Linked DNA regions of Saccharomyces cerevisiae S288C. Changing the gene in region 2 together with the main gene of any one other region gives a genetic interaction. Each region holds a gene or a part of one and is shown on either strand. Other genes may lie near its edges.

What was found.
Region 1: mutations in FET5 (region 2) and SMF3 impair growth when combined (synthetic growth defect), as found in Saccharomyces cerevisiae (one study listed by BioGRID).
Region 3: of FET5 (region 2) and FET4, extra expression of one rescues a mutant of the other (dosage rescue), as found in Saccharomyces cerevisiae (one study listed by BioGRID).

The regions. Positions count from the first base shown.
Region 1 is NC_001144.5:209,864-213,540, reverse strand, and holds SMF3 (putative divalent metal ion transporter SMF3), read left to right. Parts: upstream 1-1,607; coding exon 1,608-3,029; downstream 3,030-3,677. Other genes in the region: mismatch repair protein MLH2, read left to right, coding at 1-1,172; RSC58 (Rsc58p), read right to left, coding at 3,272-3,677. UniProt on the Saccharomyces cerevisiae protein: Has a role in controlling the cellular iron ion levels. Mobilizes vacuolar stores of iron in conditions of low iron levels.
Region 2 is NC_001138.5:47,086-51,960, reverse strand, and holds FET5 (ferroxidase FET5), read right to left. Parts: upstream 2,823-4,875; coding exon 954-2,822; downstream 1-953. Other genes in the region: YFL040W (uncharacterized protein), read right to left, coding at 1-611; YFL041W-A (uncharacterized protein), read right to left, coding at 3,036-3,227; LAM5 (Lam5p), read left to right, coding at 4,217-4,875. UniProt on the Saccharomyces cerevisiae protein: Iron transport multicopper oxidase, which is required for Fe(2+) high affinity uptake. May be required to oxidize Fe(2+) and release it from the transporter. Essential component of copper-dependent iron transport.
Region 3 is NC_001145.3:912,232-916,399, reverse strand, and holds FET4 (Fet4p), read left to right. Parts: upstream 1-1,861; coding exon 1,862-3,520; downstream 3,521-4,168. UniProt on the Saccharomyces cerevisiae protein: Required for Fe(2+) ion low affinity uptake.

The DNA.
Region 1 (3,677 bases), on a different chromosome or scaffold from region 2:
ATTTCTCTTTACTAGATCCTATGGTTTGGTTTATTAATTTAAATTGCGATACAAAGCTTCTTGACGTAAATATCGAACCAGAGAAAAATGACGTGATGATCAAAAGTTTTGAAGTGATATTTAAGAAGATAGAGAATAAGTTAAAGTTGTTATTGGAGGAGAGAATTGGCATCGAAACAAATATGCTGGGAGATAAACATGTTCAGCCTTCTATCAACGAAAAAACTTCTCCCGCACTGGTGATACCTACACCCGACGCAGAGAATGAAATATCAAAGGGCTGTGGTGCTGTTAGTGGTAAAGACAAGACTGACATCCCACAAAAAAACTCAGATTTGATAGTACCAACTTTTTACGATGAAGCAAACTTAGAGAATACGACCATTGTCGCTGCTACTCCTTCACCTACAAAATTTAGCGAGGATAAAGCTCTTGACGAACAAACTCAGCTGACCATTTCAAGTTATAGAAGCTCGAGTTCCGGGTCTATGGCTTCCGAGGACAGTACTAATTGGCGACATAATTTCCAACAAGAACTAAGCGAAAATAGTGAAGTAGCAGGAGCTGGATCCTCAACATTACCCTCGTCATTAACTTATAACTATATAGAAACTATTCCAGAGAACGAGGATTTAGAACTTTCTAAGGACGCTTCTATTTCTAATCCTTTTATGATCACAAAAATAAGAAACGTCAACAAGAAACTGAGCGAAAACTTACTTGAGGCCAAACGTACTAGCTGTGGAGATGCCAATAAAAGGGGAATGCCCAACGAAAGACAGCTTTCAAATACAGAAAAAAAGGAACTAATAAAGCTTCAGCAAACCTACGGTAAAAGAAACAATACCGTGGACATGACCATTCCACGAAATTCGAAAAAAAAAGTAACTGATAATTATATAAAGAAAGCATCCTGCATGCACAAAACAAGGCCGAAACTCATGCATTTTTCCGAGTATACCAACAACTACGTCTATACCCTGAAGAATGAAAAAATTGTTAAGCATGACAGCGATAACTTTGCCAAAGAAACTCTGTGGTTACGATCGAGGGACGATGCCACAAGCCCTTCTTCCAGTCTTTTGCAAGCCTTGCGAGCGCATGTGAAGAAACCGGGACACATTGAAGCCACGACAAATGAATGGTGCCTCTTCACGCCAGACAGCCCCTGATGATCGGGTGCACTATCACCACTCAGCACAATAGATTACTTCATAATAGACCATTGTTTGTAACTCATGGTAACCGCACCCTGTTGCCCGCCCTGCCTCTCTTCCAGTTTCCGCACCTTGAAATTTCCGTTTTGGGTCAACTTAAAAATGCTCTAATATTGCATTGTTACGACATCCTGTTGTCATGCGACTAAAGGTATTTATACTGTATATATCTCATTCATCTGATTCTGTGAGGTTGCATAATTGAATATTTATTTCAAAGGAGCTAGAAGACAAAGATCACTCCACATAAATATACGGGGTTCCTTTATATATTAGTTCATTTTTTTTTTCAGTTGTCATACCCAAACTATTATTTCCTTCTGAACTCCTTTAAATATATCGTTCTTCCAAGCTAATTGATAACAGTAGTAGCATCACAAGAGAAAAAAAATGCGATCTTATATGCAGATTCTTCAAAAATTTGCCAAATTTATTGGGCCAGGGATATTAGTCAGTGTGGCTTATATGGACCCAGGAAATTATGCCACTAGTGTTTCCGGTGGTGCTCAATACAAATATACCTTATTATTCTCTATTTTTATATCCAACATTTTTGCCGTACTTTTGCAATGTCTCTGTGTGAAGCTGGGTACTATCACTGGCTATGATTTGGCTGAAAACTGTCGTCATAATTTGCCTAAAAAGCTAAACTATACCCTTTACCTTTTCGCTGAAGTGGCAATCATTGCTACTGATCTGGCCGAGGTTGTAGGCACTGCCATCGCTTTACAAATTCTTTTCAAAATACCACTAACTTGGGGTGTCTTATTAACGGTGCTAGATGTTTTGGTAATTTTAATGTTCTACACACCAAACGGCCAGTCCTTAAAAAAAGTTAGGGTTTTCGAATTTGGCGTTGGGATTTTGGTCATTGGAACTTGCATTTGCTTTGTTTTGGAGCTGTTTAAAGTTTCAATCCCAGACAAAGCTGAATTGTTTAAAGGGTTTTTGCCTTCAAATATCATTTTTAAGGAACAACAAGCTCTTTACATTTCATTGGGTATCTTAGGTGCCACTGTGATGCCTCATTCATTATACTTGGGCTCATCCATTGTTAAACCAAGATTGCACGATTACGATTTGAAGAAATACGGTAAGGTTAATGCCCGCCCAAGTTTAAGCGCTATAAAATATACGTTAAACTATGCGTACGCTGAACTAATCATTTCTTTGTTCTTAATTGCCACCTTTGTTAATTCCGCTATTTTAATTGTTGCAGGTGCTACTTTATCAGGCCAACCTGAGGCAGAGGATGCTGATTTGTTATCTATTTACAAATTACTGGTCCACTACATATCTCCTGCGGCAGGGTTAATCTTTGCATTGGCCATGTTATGTTCTGGTCAATCTGCCGGTATCATCTGTACACTTGCCGGGCAAATCGTTTCTGAGGGATTTTTACAGTGGTCTTTACCACCTTGGGCCACAAGATTGTGCACCAGATTGATTGCCATTGTACCATGTTTATTTGTTACTTTAACCATGGGGGAAAAGGGAATTTCAGATATTTTGAATTTTTCTCAAGTGGTCTTGTCCTTAATTTTACCAATCGTATCCGCTCCTTTAATTTATTTTACCGCAAATAGAAAGTTGATGGTTGTTCATGACGAAAATGGTGTGGTAAGAGCACCTGCCGATGTTAACGCCATTGCTGATGAAACCACTCCATTGAACTCCAAGCACAGTAAAATAGTTGATTTTACTAACAGTCGTTTGTTGACCTATACCTCTGTTTTCGTATGGGCTTTAATCGGGAGCTTGAATTGCTATTTGGTGATTTCCTATCTCTTAGGTGCCGACATCCATTTTTAATGGAACCTATTTATTGTCAAGTGTGTCGTTTTCTCTCGATTCTTGTTTTCTCTCATTTCTTTATTCTGCATAATACAACCCAAGTATATACTTACGTATGCATAGCCTTCAGAACAAATGCATACTTTATCTAATATCAAAATATAAACATACATTAGTCAAAAAAGACTTGATGAGCTTTCATGAAACTAAAACAAAGATAATTCATTATTTATCTTTGATTCCACTACCGCTGACACTATTTATTTCTTGTGTTTCCGTTTACGACCTGGTTGCGCCCTTACCACAGGTATGCTACCATTATAGTTTGTTTGTAATACTGGAAAGGCCCTTACATTGTTTATAGGAACCTTGGAAACCTTCTTTGCTAAGATAACCTCCTTTAGTATTCTTTTCACTTTGAAGTATAATTCTCGTTCCTCCGTAGTAGGCTTCAAAACTTTATTTAAAATCCTCTCCTTTCTAAGTCTTTTAAGTTTTAAGAGAGAGTCTGAAACCAACTTATCTGGTGTGCCATTTCGAAAGTTCTCAATTTCGTCATCTCCAATGTAATTAGATGGTGTCCAATTATATAAGTTTTGAAGCTTGATTATGAATTGTTCCTTATTCTCAGTACTCTCTGAATTTGCAGAAGCGATAGTCGCATCA
Region 2 (4,875 bases):
CTAGCCATCCAGAACAGTAATCCAGGAATGATTCCTATGCACCACGCTATACGGAACGCAAAATGAGAATCCCATAGACTTAATGCAATGCACAAATAATGCATAACAAGAATTCCAATGGTTAAACACAATTGAATATAGCTCATCGTACTTCCACGCTTGCCGCGGGGGATAACTTCATTTGCGTAGGATGCTACTAAAATTGAAAAGTTCCCAAGGATCATACCCTTGATCATCCGGCAAATTAGTAAACCTAATATATCCCAAATACAAAAGTTCAATAACGTAACAATATTCCATATTATTATTCCCGATTGAAATTGATATATTCTACTGAATCTATCATTCATTATGCAGCAAATAAAACATCCCATGATACCACCCAGGGGGGTGGACCCCATGAGTAAACCTTGTTGTAAAGGAGTTGGATACTTGAAGTACTCATTAAACGTTTTGTTTGTGAGAAAAGTTGCCAATGACGGCACCTCAAGGCCCATTATAAATCCTACTAGTGTCAATATCGCCGTAATTTTCGTAACTTCATAAGTTTTTGTAATTTTGATTTTCGGCATCTTGGGAAGTCTCCAGACAATAGCTTTCATTGCTGTCATTGTGCTTAATAATTTTTAAAGTATAATGTTAGAAACTGTACTTGTTCTTTCTTTTTTCTCTTCTCATATTACACTTATTGAATATTTTGTTTTTTGATTTTCATCCTTTTTTTGTGACGTTCTTGGCTGAGCGTCACAACGTCAGAGCTAAAACAACGAAATAAAAGAGAAAAAAAAAGCAATAGATTTGATTACGTATGAATATTATATAGGGAATGGAATGAACAAAATGAAAATACTCAATAGTAAGCAGTATTTACAGTGCTACATTTTTTTTAGGATTGCAAATCATCAATATGAATATAAACTTCTTTCATTTTTCTTTTATATTTTCTTGTTTAATTAGCCGCGAGAAACCTCTATTTCATTTTCAGCCAAGATTTCCCTTAACGTGTGGTACACCTTCTCATCGTTAGGGATAACCTCGCCAATACCATACTGAGCAATGGAATATAGGCCCCAGACACCGATAATGGTTGAAATAATCAATGCCAAATATCCTTCAGTAGTAAATCCCTTTGGTAGTGGCTCAGGTTGTCTTGGTAATCCTTTTAAGTCAAACCAATCATTCGAATGACCTGCAGCATTACCAACTACCGGAATATCAGCGGCTTTGCATATATCCAGATAGTTCTCATTAAGCTTTTCCCTTTCCTGAAGTAAAACGGGTGCCTCAATAAAGACCGAAGCCAAACCTTGTTGTAAGTGCCAATCTACATGACAATGGAAATACCAGACACCAGGGTTGTCAGCTCTAAATCTCAGGACAACATGTCCACTAGGTTCAAGAACCACTGTATCTCTCACCATCGGCCTCTCAGGGAACGGTTGTAATGGCGCAGATTCGTTATAAGGGACGGTCATTTCATCTTGCTCAGATTCGTCATAAGCTTCATCAACATGGAACCCTGGCGACTTTTGGACTATTTGGAAATTATGACCGTGCAAATGGAATGGATGTCTGCCAGAATCATAATTGTTTAGAACAACCTCTATGATATCATTATGTTTCAATAACTGCGCATTGATATTATCACCATAAATTCTAGGATCTGACGCAAGCTTTCCTGAGGTAAGCAACGTTGTCAAAGTAGGCACCTTTGGTGTGACGTAAGTGATATTATTGAAAAATGCATACTTCACACCATCACCCAAGTTGACCATTCTTACATCCATGACAATTTGGTGGTCATAGTGAGCAAGTAGGTCTCTCTCAATCAGAGGTTCTAGGTAAAAGTCATTCGTGGCGCGGTCCAAGTCACAATCTTCAATGTTCAATGCGCGTGCCTCCGGCAACGAGTGGCCATACCTCATTTGGATAGTTTGGTTGAGTTGTAACTCAGGTGGGACAACATCAAGCATCGTCTCATCCATTATTTGCATCATAGCGTAGTTTCTTGTAGGCATTTTATCTTTAGCTTTAATCAACACACTCATTCTTTGCCCCGCAGAAAGATATATCGAATCAGTAAAGTTTGGCTTTACGTAAACACCGTCCACCTCTACTATACTCATTTCATGATCCTCAAGAATGATATACTGGGATACAAACAGCCCAACGTTCAAGAACCTGAAGAGATACGTTTCACCGGGTGTAAAATCTAAAGTTACATTCATCGTATTATTAAAAAGAATATTTTGAGGAATAGGTTCAGCACCGGTTGGATTATATCTTGACAGAAACTCTTTGGTAACCGTTTTATAATTTTCGTGATAATGGTCCGATAGAGTGATGACTCGTTCATGATCATATTCGAAGGGCTCCTCCGGATCGTGGATGATAAATGCACCCCTCATACCGTCACCGTACTGGGCACCCATGTGTGCATGGTACCAGAACGTTCCTACCTGCTCTGGGACAGTGAAGTTGTACAGGTATGTTTGTCCCGGAACGATGGGACATTGTGTCACCATAGAAGGACCATCCATTTGAAGCTGGTTCCCCAAACTCGTATTCTGGAAAAGACCATGGAAATGTAGAGAAGTAGCAGTATTGTCTTGAAAGCCGTTAGTCAAATAAAGCTCAACACGATCTCCTTTTTCAACATGGATATCTGGAAGTGGCCATTCGCCATTAAAACCAATCATCCTTTTTTCATGCAATCCATCAGGATTGGCAGTTACCCAAGAAGCGGTATAGTTTAACTTATGTGTCTTTGCCAAAGCAACACTAGCGGCCAGTACAGACCACACGAACGAGTAGAACAACATCGTTTCTTGTCTTCCTGTGCTTGATTCTTTCTTCTTTCATTCGGAACTCTTTTTTTACGTCTTCGTATTTTCTGTGATCTTATATAAAAATGTATGTATTATAAGAATCGATGGCGAAACAGGGTGCAGACTGAATACAAAAGCCACAAAGTAATAAAACAAGAATATTAAAAATATTTAGATACAGTTCGATAAATTCTATAAACACCTTACCTATCTTAGCTTGAGCAGCTTTTTTGAAAGGAAATCAACCAGTAGCCTATCGGTAATCAACTCATAGACATTAATACAATCCCTAGACATCAAATCAATGGCCAAGGAGTAGTCACCATCGTCATACTTGAATTTCACTTTATATGTAATCTCTCTGAAGGAATCTCGTTGGGAGGGTCCCCACATTTTCATTCGAGGGGTGGATATCAACCTACTTAACTGTTCCACCGTTCTTGACACATTTTAGCATATTCTCAACGCTCTTTTGAGTACCTGAGGACTCGAATCCATCAGGCTTCCTTTTTTTCTGATTATAGCAGTTCTTCATAGCGTTTATAAACTGTCCATTTTGCTCTTTCTTGGAATCATGTGTACTCATGAACACCAAACCCTCTGAGTACCGCACCCGCCAGCAGATCAATTGTTCCAGCACCTATAACTACAGCTTACTCCCCACACTTCAGCTAGGACGGCCTTACTACATGGAGAGCGACAAATAGTGGCATCTACAGAGGACTCTTGCTAGAAATTCACTGTAACGGTAATCAGTAAACGCAGTCGACGTTAACCACGAACTCTTGACAAAGGGTGCCGTCACGGTCAGTGATGCAGCAAATGGTATGTTGAGCTGCAAACTATAATGGCCTCACAGAAACTCTTTGGTAAACCTATTTGGGTATGAGGGCTATATGCTTACTGCATCACCCGCTTTACAGTAGTTTGAGATACTTCAATTTCAAGAACAGCACCGTTGGATTCGTGGCCCAAAGTCATGGGCTTCCCAGGTTACTTTACGCTGACCTGGCCATCCGTGTAGTAGTGAATGTCTGATCCGCAGATTCCAATAGCCTTCACTTAAACTTTGACCTGTGACATCACGTTGGCTTGGCAACTTTCTGAATCTCTTTCATGTTTGGTTCAAAACATTTGATAGCTTTCTGCATTGTGTTGAGTGGAGGTCAGAAGGTCAGATATTACCAATTACCGTCATCCTCAATGTCACTCATGATAGAATGTTTGCTTTATGTCTGAGATCAGAGAGATCGCGTATCGCTGAGCAGGGGGACTTGTTTCTCCCACCCTTTTTCATAAAGCATCTTGACAATTATATTAAAACACTCAACCATTTCGCTATCTGAGAAAAGGGTGAAGAAGGCAACTACACAAAAAGATTAGTGGTGATGTCGGATGTAGATAACTGGGAACCCGTATCAGATAATGAGGACAGTACTGATTCTGTGAAACAATTGGGTCCCCCCTTTGAGCATGCAAGTAACAATGACAATGCCGGCGATACTGAAGCTGAGTCACTGCAAGAAGTGCCCCTAAATACAGAGACCAACGACGTACGCAAGAATTTAGTAGTGATTACAAACCAAAGTGCCGCCGATGAACACCCTACAGAGATCAAGCACGATCAATCAAGGACTTCTTCGACGTCCTCGTTCTTCAGTGGAATGATCTCTTCGTTTAAGTCAAACGTGCCATCCCCAGTTTCTAGATCAACTACGCCAACTTCGCCAGTTTCGCAACCAAGCATTATATCACATAGAAGGGAGCCTTCCATGGGGTCCAAAAGAAGATCAAGCCGCCGTATCAGTAATGCCACAATTGCTGAAATAGGCTCTCCCTTGCAACAGGTGGAAAAGCCTGATGAGGTCAAGACAAGACTCACTCCTTCCCAAATGAAAGAAGACAATTACGATCATAGACGATTCGTGGAAGAACGTTACATGGACACACCTTATCACTATGCGTCTGAGCAAAGAAATAAAGACTTTCATGAGACATTCAAGTCCGTTCCTAAAGATGACAGACTACTGGATGATTTTAATTGTGG
Region 3 (4,168 bases), on a different chromosome or scaffold from region 2:
TTGGTTTCCTAACACGACCAGTCGCAGGTGAGAGTCTTGGAATTATCCTTCAACACTGTGTGTTATTGTAGATCAGTAATTAAAGATCAGTGTAGTATTTTCAAATATTCTTTACTTCAGTAAGGACAGAATTTGTAGTGACATTTAATGAAGAATAACAAAGGGATATGGATGTCAGGCGACATTACTCGACGTAAATTACTCTCACGAAGGCAAAAATATAACCTAGCCATTGAGTCCTAACCTACTATTAGCGAGATCTTTCTCATTTCGGCTTTAGAGTGTTCATTTTAATACGATGGCCAAAATTAAAAAAATTCGGCCATCAGACCTTGTCGCTTTACTAAGAAGTTATACGGATGAAGATGAATTACTTGAATAAAGATCTTCACTCACTAAATGAAAACATCTGCAGCACGTGCTTGTTATGCTTAACTCCTTGTAAAAATAGTGTATTTCAAAAAATACGCAGTGACAGAGTAAAGATACCCTAACTTTTGTCCGTTGTCCTCCGGTTCCATCATTGCCAAACTAAAGTACTAAGACCATTATCGTGGGTAAGATCATACATTTAAATAAAATAAAAGATACGTAAGCACCTAGATTCCTGGGACAAGCAGCTCAAAATATTTGTTCCTCTTTCCTGTATGAACTGTCAATGCGTTGCTGCTTCGCTGCACGTATTAAGGATTTTGATGGAAGGTCCAACAAAGAAAAAGAAACGTGCGCTTTTAAAAAAAGAAGCTTTTCCTACCAAAAGTTCTTTGATCTGCTTATTCAACGTAGCATCTTATTCGCATACATTGGACTCATGTTTAAGGCATTCTAATCACACCAGTTTCCTTGCATATGAGCAAATATCTGTGCTTGCTGTTCTAACCATACGTACTACTACGTTGATTGGATTATAATGTCCTTTGGGTATTCTCCGATTACGTTGTCCCATTTTTCTTTTTTGCCTTGTTGCGAAGAGCGTTGTTCCGAAAACCGGGTGCACTTTTTGTTCACTTTATATATCCCACGAGGAGACTGCGCGAACATGATATGTTTGACCTGGCATAGTGCTATTGTTCATAAACAATAAGCCCCCTAAATACCTGCATGTACGAAGGTGTACGTACGGTCATTCGCATTTCCCTAGCATTACTTTCAGTACTGGACAGGTTATTTTTACCCCTCTAGTTTGCGACTACCACTAAATGGGCCATTTTTACGTGTCTACGACATATCGCAAGGGTTTTTTTCTTTTGTCTTATTCGAGTAATTATATAAGCGCGCGTAGTCATTTTTTTAGCGAGACCCTAGGGTCCTGTAGCAGTAATTTGAGGTTTTCATGGCTCGAACAACGACAAAATATTGAGGAATCTTGAGCCTTATTGGGGCGTAAATCACACAGGTGTTGAATGAGCTTGGAGCTTGTGCGGTTATGTATTAGATATGGGCAGTTTCCTTTAACGTTGGCGCCTCTTTCTTTCCTACCCGTGGGGTTGCTCTCGAAACTGATTAGGTCATGAGCATTTTTGCTGAGTCTTTTTAGGAAGCAGCATTTTTCTCAAACGAAAAAAAAAAAAACCAAAAAAAAAAATAAAGACAAAAAAACTATATAATGCTACTGGCCTTGAACTTGCTTGGTAGAAGCCTTCTTAATTGCACCCATTAGTTTAGCATCTACCACATCTTGATTCGATGCTCTTCATTTAGAAATACTTGTTTATATAAATATACTTCACACGGCATGAATTAATTGATAGGTAAGTAAGTTTCTTTTATCATAAGTCAAACAGTATCAGATATAAGAAGGGAAAAGGTAGATATAGAAACCTAATAAGACCCTTATTATTAAACATTCGTTAATCAAATTATGGGTAAAATTGCAGAGTTTCTCGGGAATCCAGGTGCTAGGCCTGACGTTCATCATAGAGCACCTACTGTTGACTGCAAACAGTACGAAGAATTCGGTGATTCTAACGATTACAAAAATGATGATGTGGTCAGAGTAGTCAGCCATAGCGATGAGAGTACTGATGACGAACTTTGTAATGTGAATTTAACAGAAACAGGGGCAATCTTCACGAGTAAAGGTTTTACCGGGTTAAGCAAAGGTTTCACAGATAAGACCCTGGATTTCCTGGTACGAGTGGCCGGTTCGCAGGCGGTTTTTTTTATTGTTTGGATCATCCTCATAATTTGGGTGGTTATTGGTATTGTTTATAACGCACCTTTCAATTGGCAAGTTGTTATGCAGGACGGACAGTCTATTCAAAGTTATGTTTGGGACACACTGTTGATGAGACAACAGTTGATGAGTACGCATGAACAAATTTTGATCTGCGGTAGATTGAAGTCGAGATTGGCTTCCTTCAAAAACTATCTAACAAGAAGCACCCCAGAGGAAGAAAAAGCAGACTGCACAGTTGAAGCTAATGAAGTCAGCTCTGTTGAAAATCATATAGACCCATCTGCCATTAACGGAGAACTGCCTGTGGAAAATTGGTACGACCGTTTATCTAACGTAGCAAGTAGGTATATGGGTTCAATTGCAGCAATGGTGATATTTTGGATAGGTATTTTCGTTTGGATTGGTTGCGGTGCTATCCCAAAAGATGCGGGCAACACTCCACCTTACACCGGAGAAACTACAGGTAGTAATCCAAGATTGAAAAAGTTCAGTGACGCTTGGCAGATGTATATTAACACTGCAGTTGCAGTTTCCCTTCTAATTTGCACTACTTTCTTACAAAATATAAGGGCTAGACATGATTATTTCACGGGGAGGTTTTTAGTTGATATCTTTGATATGGACGAGAAAATCGACTATCGTATAAGAAAGCATTTTAACGATTTTGAAACACCTCACCCAGTTGTTACTATTGAATCTAAAAAAAGGTCGACAGGGAGAAAGATGATTGATTGGTATGCTGATATTATTGGTACTGGTATTGGTGTCCTGATTGGTGTGGCAGTGTTCGCCACATGGATTGGTATTGGTTCGCCAATGAAGTGGGATGATAATTGGTGGTTGATTATCGGTACATACACAGGTTTAATTGGGTTTTTGGACGGTTTCGTTTTGAGAGAAGTGTACTTCCGAATCGTTCAACATGAAGAGAAAAATTATTCTGATGTGGCTAAAGAAGACCTTGAATTATTCCAAGAATTAGGTATTGAATGTCCCGAAGAATTTAGTGGTAAAGCTCCTGAAATTAACACTATTGGTTACAGAACATCCCAATATATTAATAGGATCTGCTCAACTCCATGGAGTGTTCTTGTATCCGTCATCATCATCATTGGTTTAATTTGTATTGCTTCCGGTTTGCGTTGGAGTACAACAGGTCAATTGATTGCTAACACGCCAACTATGATTATCGAAGAATTTTTCTTGCTAGTTTTGTTGCAAGCACATAATTGGGCCGATCGTCAAAGAAGAGTGGAGGTTACCGCTTTGTACGCACGTAGGCGCATACTTCTATCATACGTAGAAAAGCGTTTCCCAGAGGTTATGATGTTGGAAAAATAGCTTCATTGAACATTTTAGCATTAGTGGGAAGAATTCCTCATGTTACTTATGAGGGAGTTAATTTTCCTTAGGGATTTTAGGAATTTCTATACGGAGGTAGCGATCGACCTTAGAACTTTTATTTAGTTTGTACATATACCTCACCTGAGTTTTGCTTTTTTCTCTGGGAGCCTAAACCATTTAAAATGATATATAATAGATAATAAATCCAGGATAAAATGTGGCTAATTGATCTTTTTTCATTTTCAACTTGGTAATGACGTACTGGATACTTTCGACGCTCTTTTTTAGTCCCCGATCCCCGTCTTCCAGGACCTTGACGTGGAATTCCGATCACAGCCACTCTCGTCACGGCTCCGTTAAAATGAATGGTTTTCCGTTACATTTACTGGTCTTTTTATCTTTTTACAGTAAATGGGTGATATACTGTGACACAATTTGTGTCTCTACTGTGTGAACTTCCATTGCTGACTAAAGATTCCCCGCTCCGCTTATATGTCCGGTCCGTCCTTGACCGAAGATCACATTGCCAATTTTTCACATCTGGAAGCGATACGACAATATAGGAGAAAAAGAAAAGTGAAAGGCAAAAAAGCACCAACAGTTCTCGAGGTGAAGTGCCGTCAATCTTCTGTATAAATTCGGCCA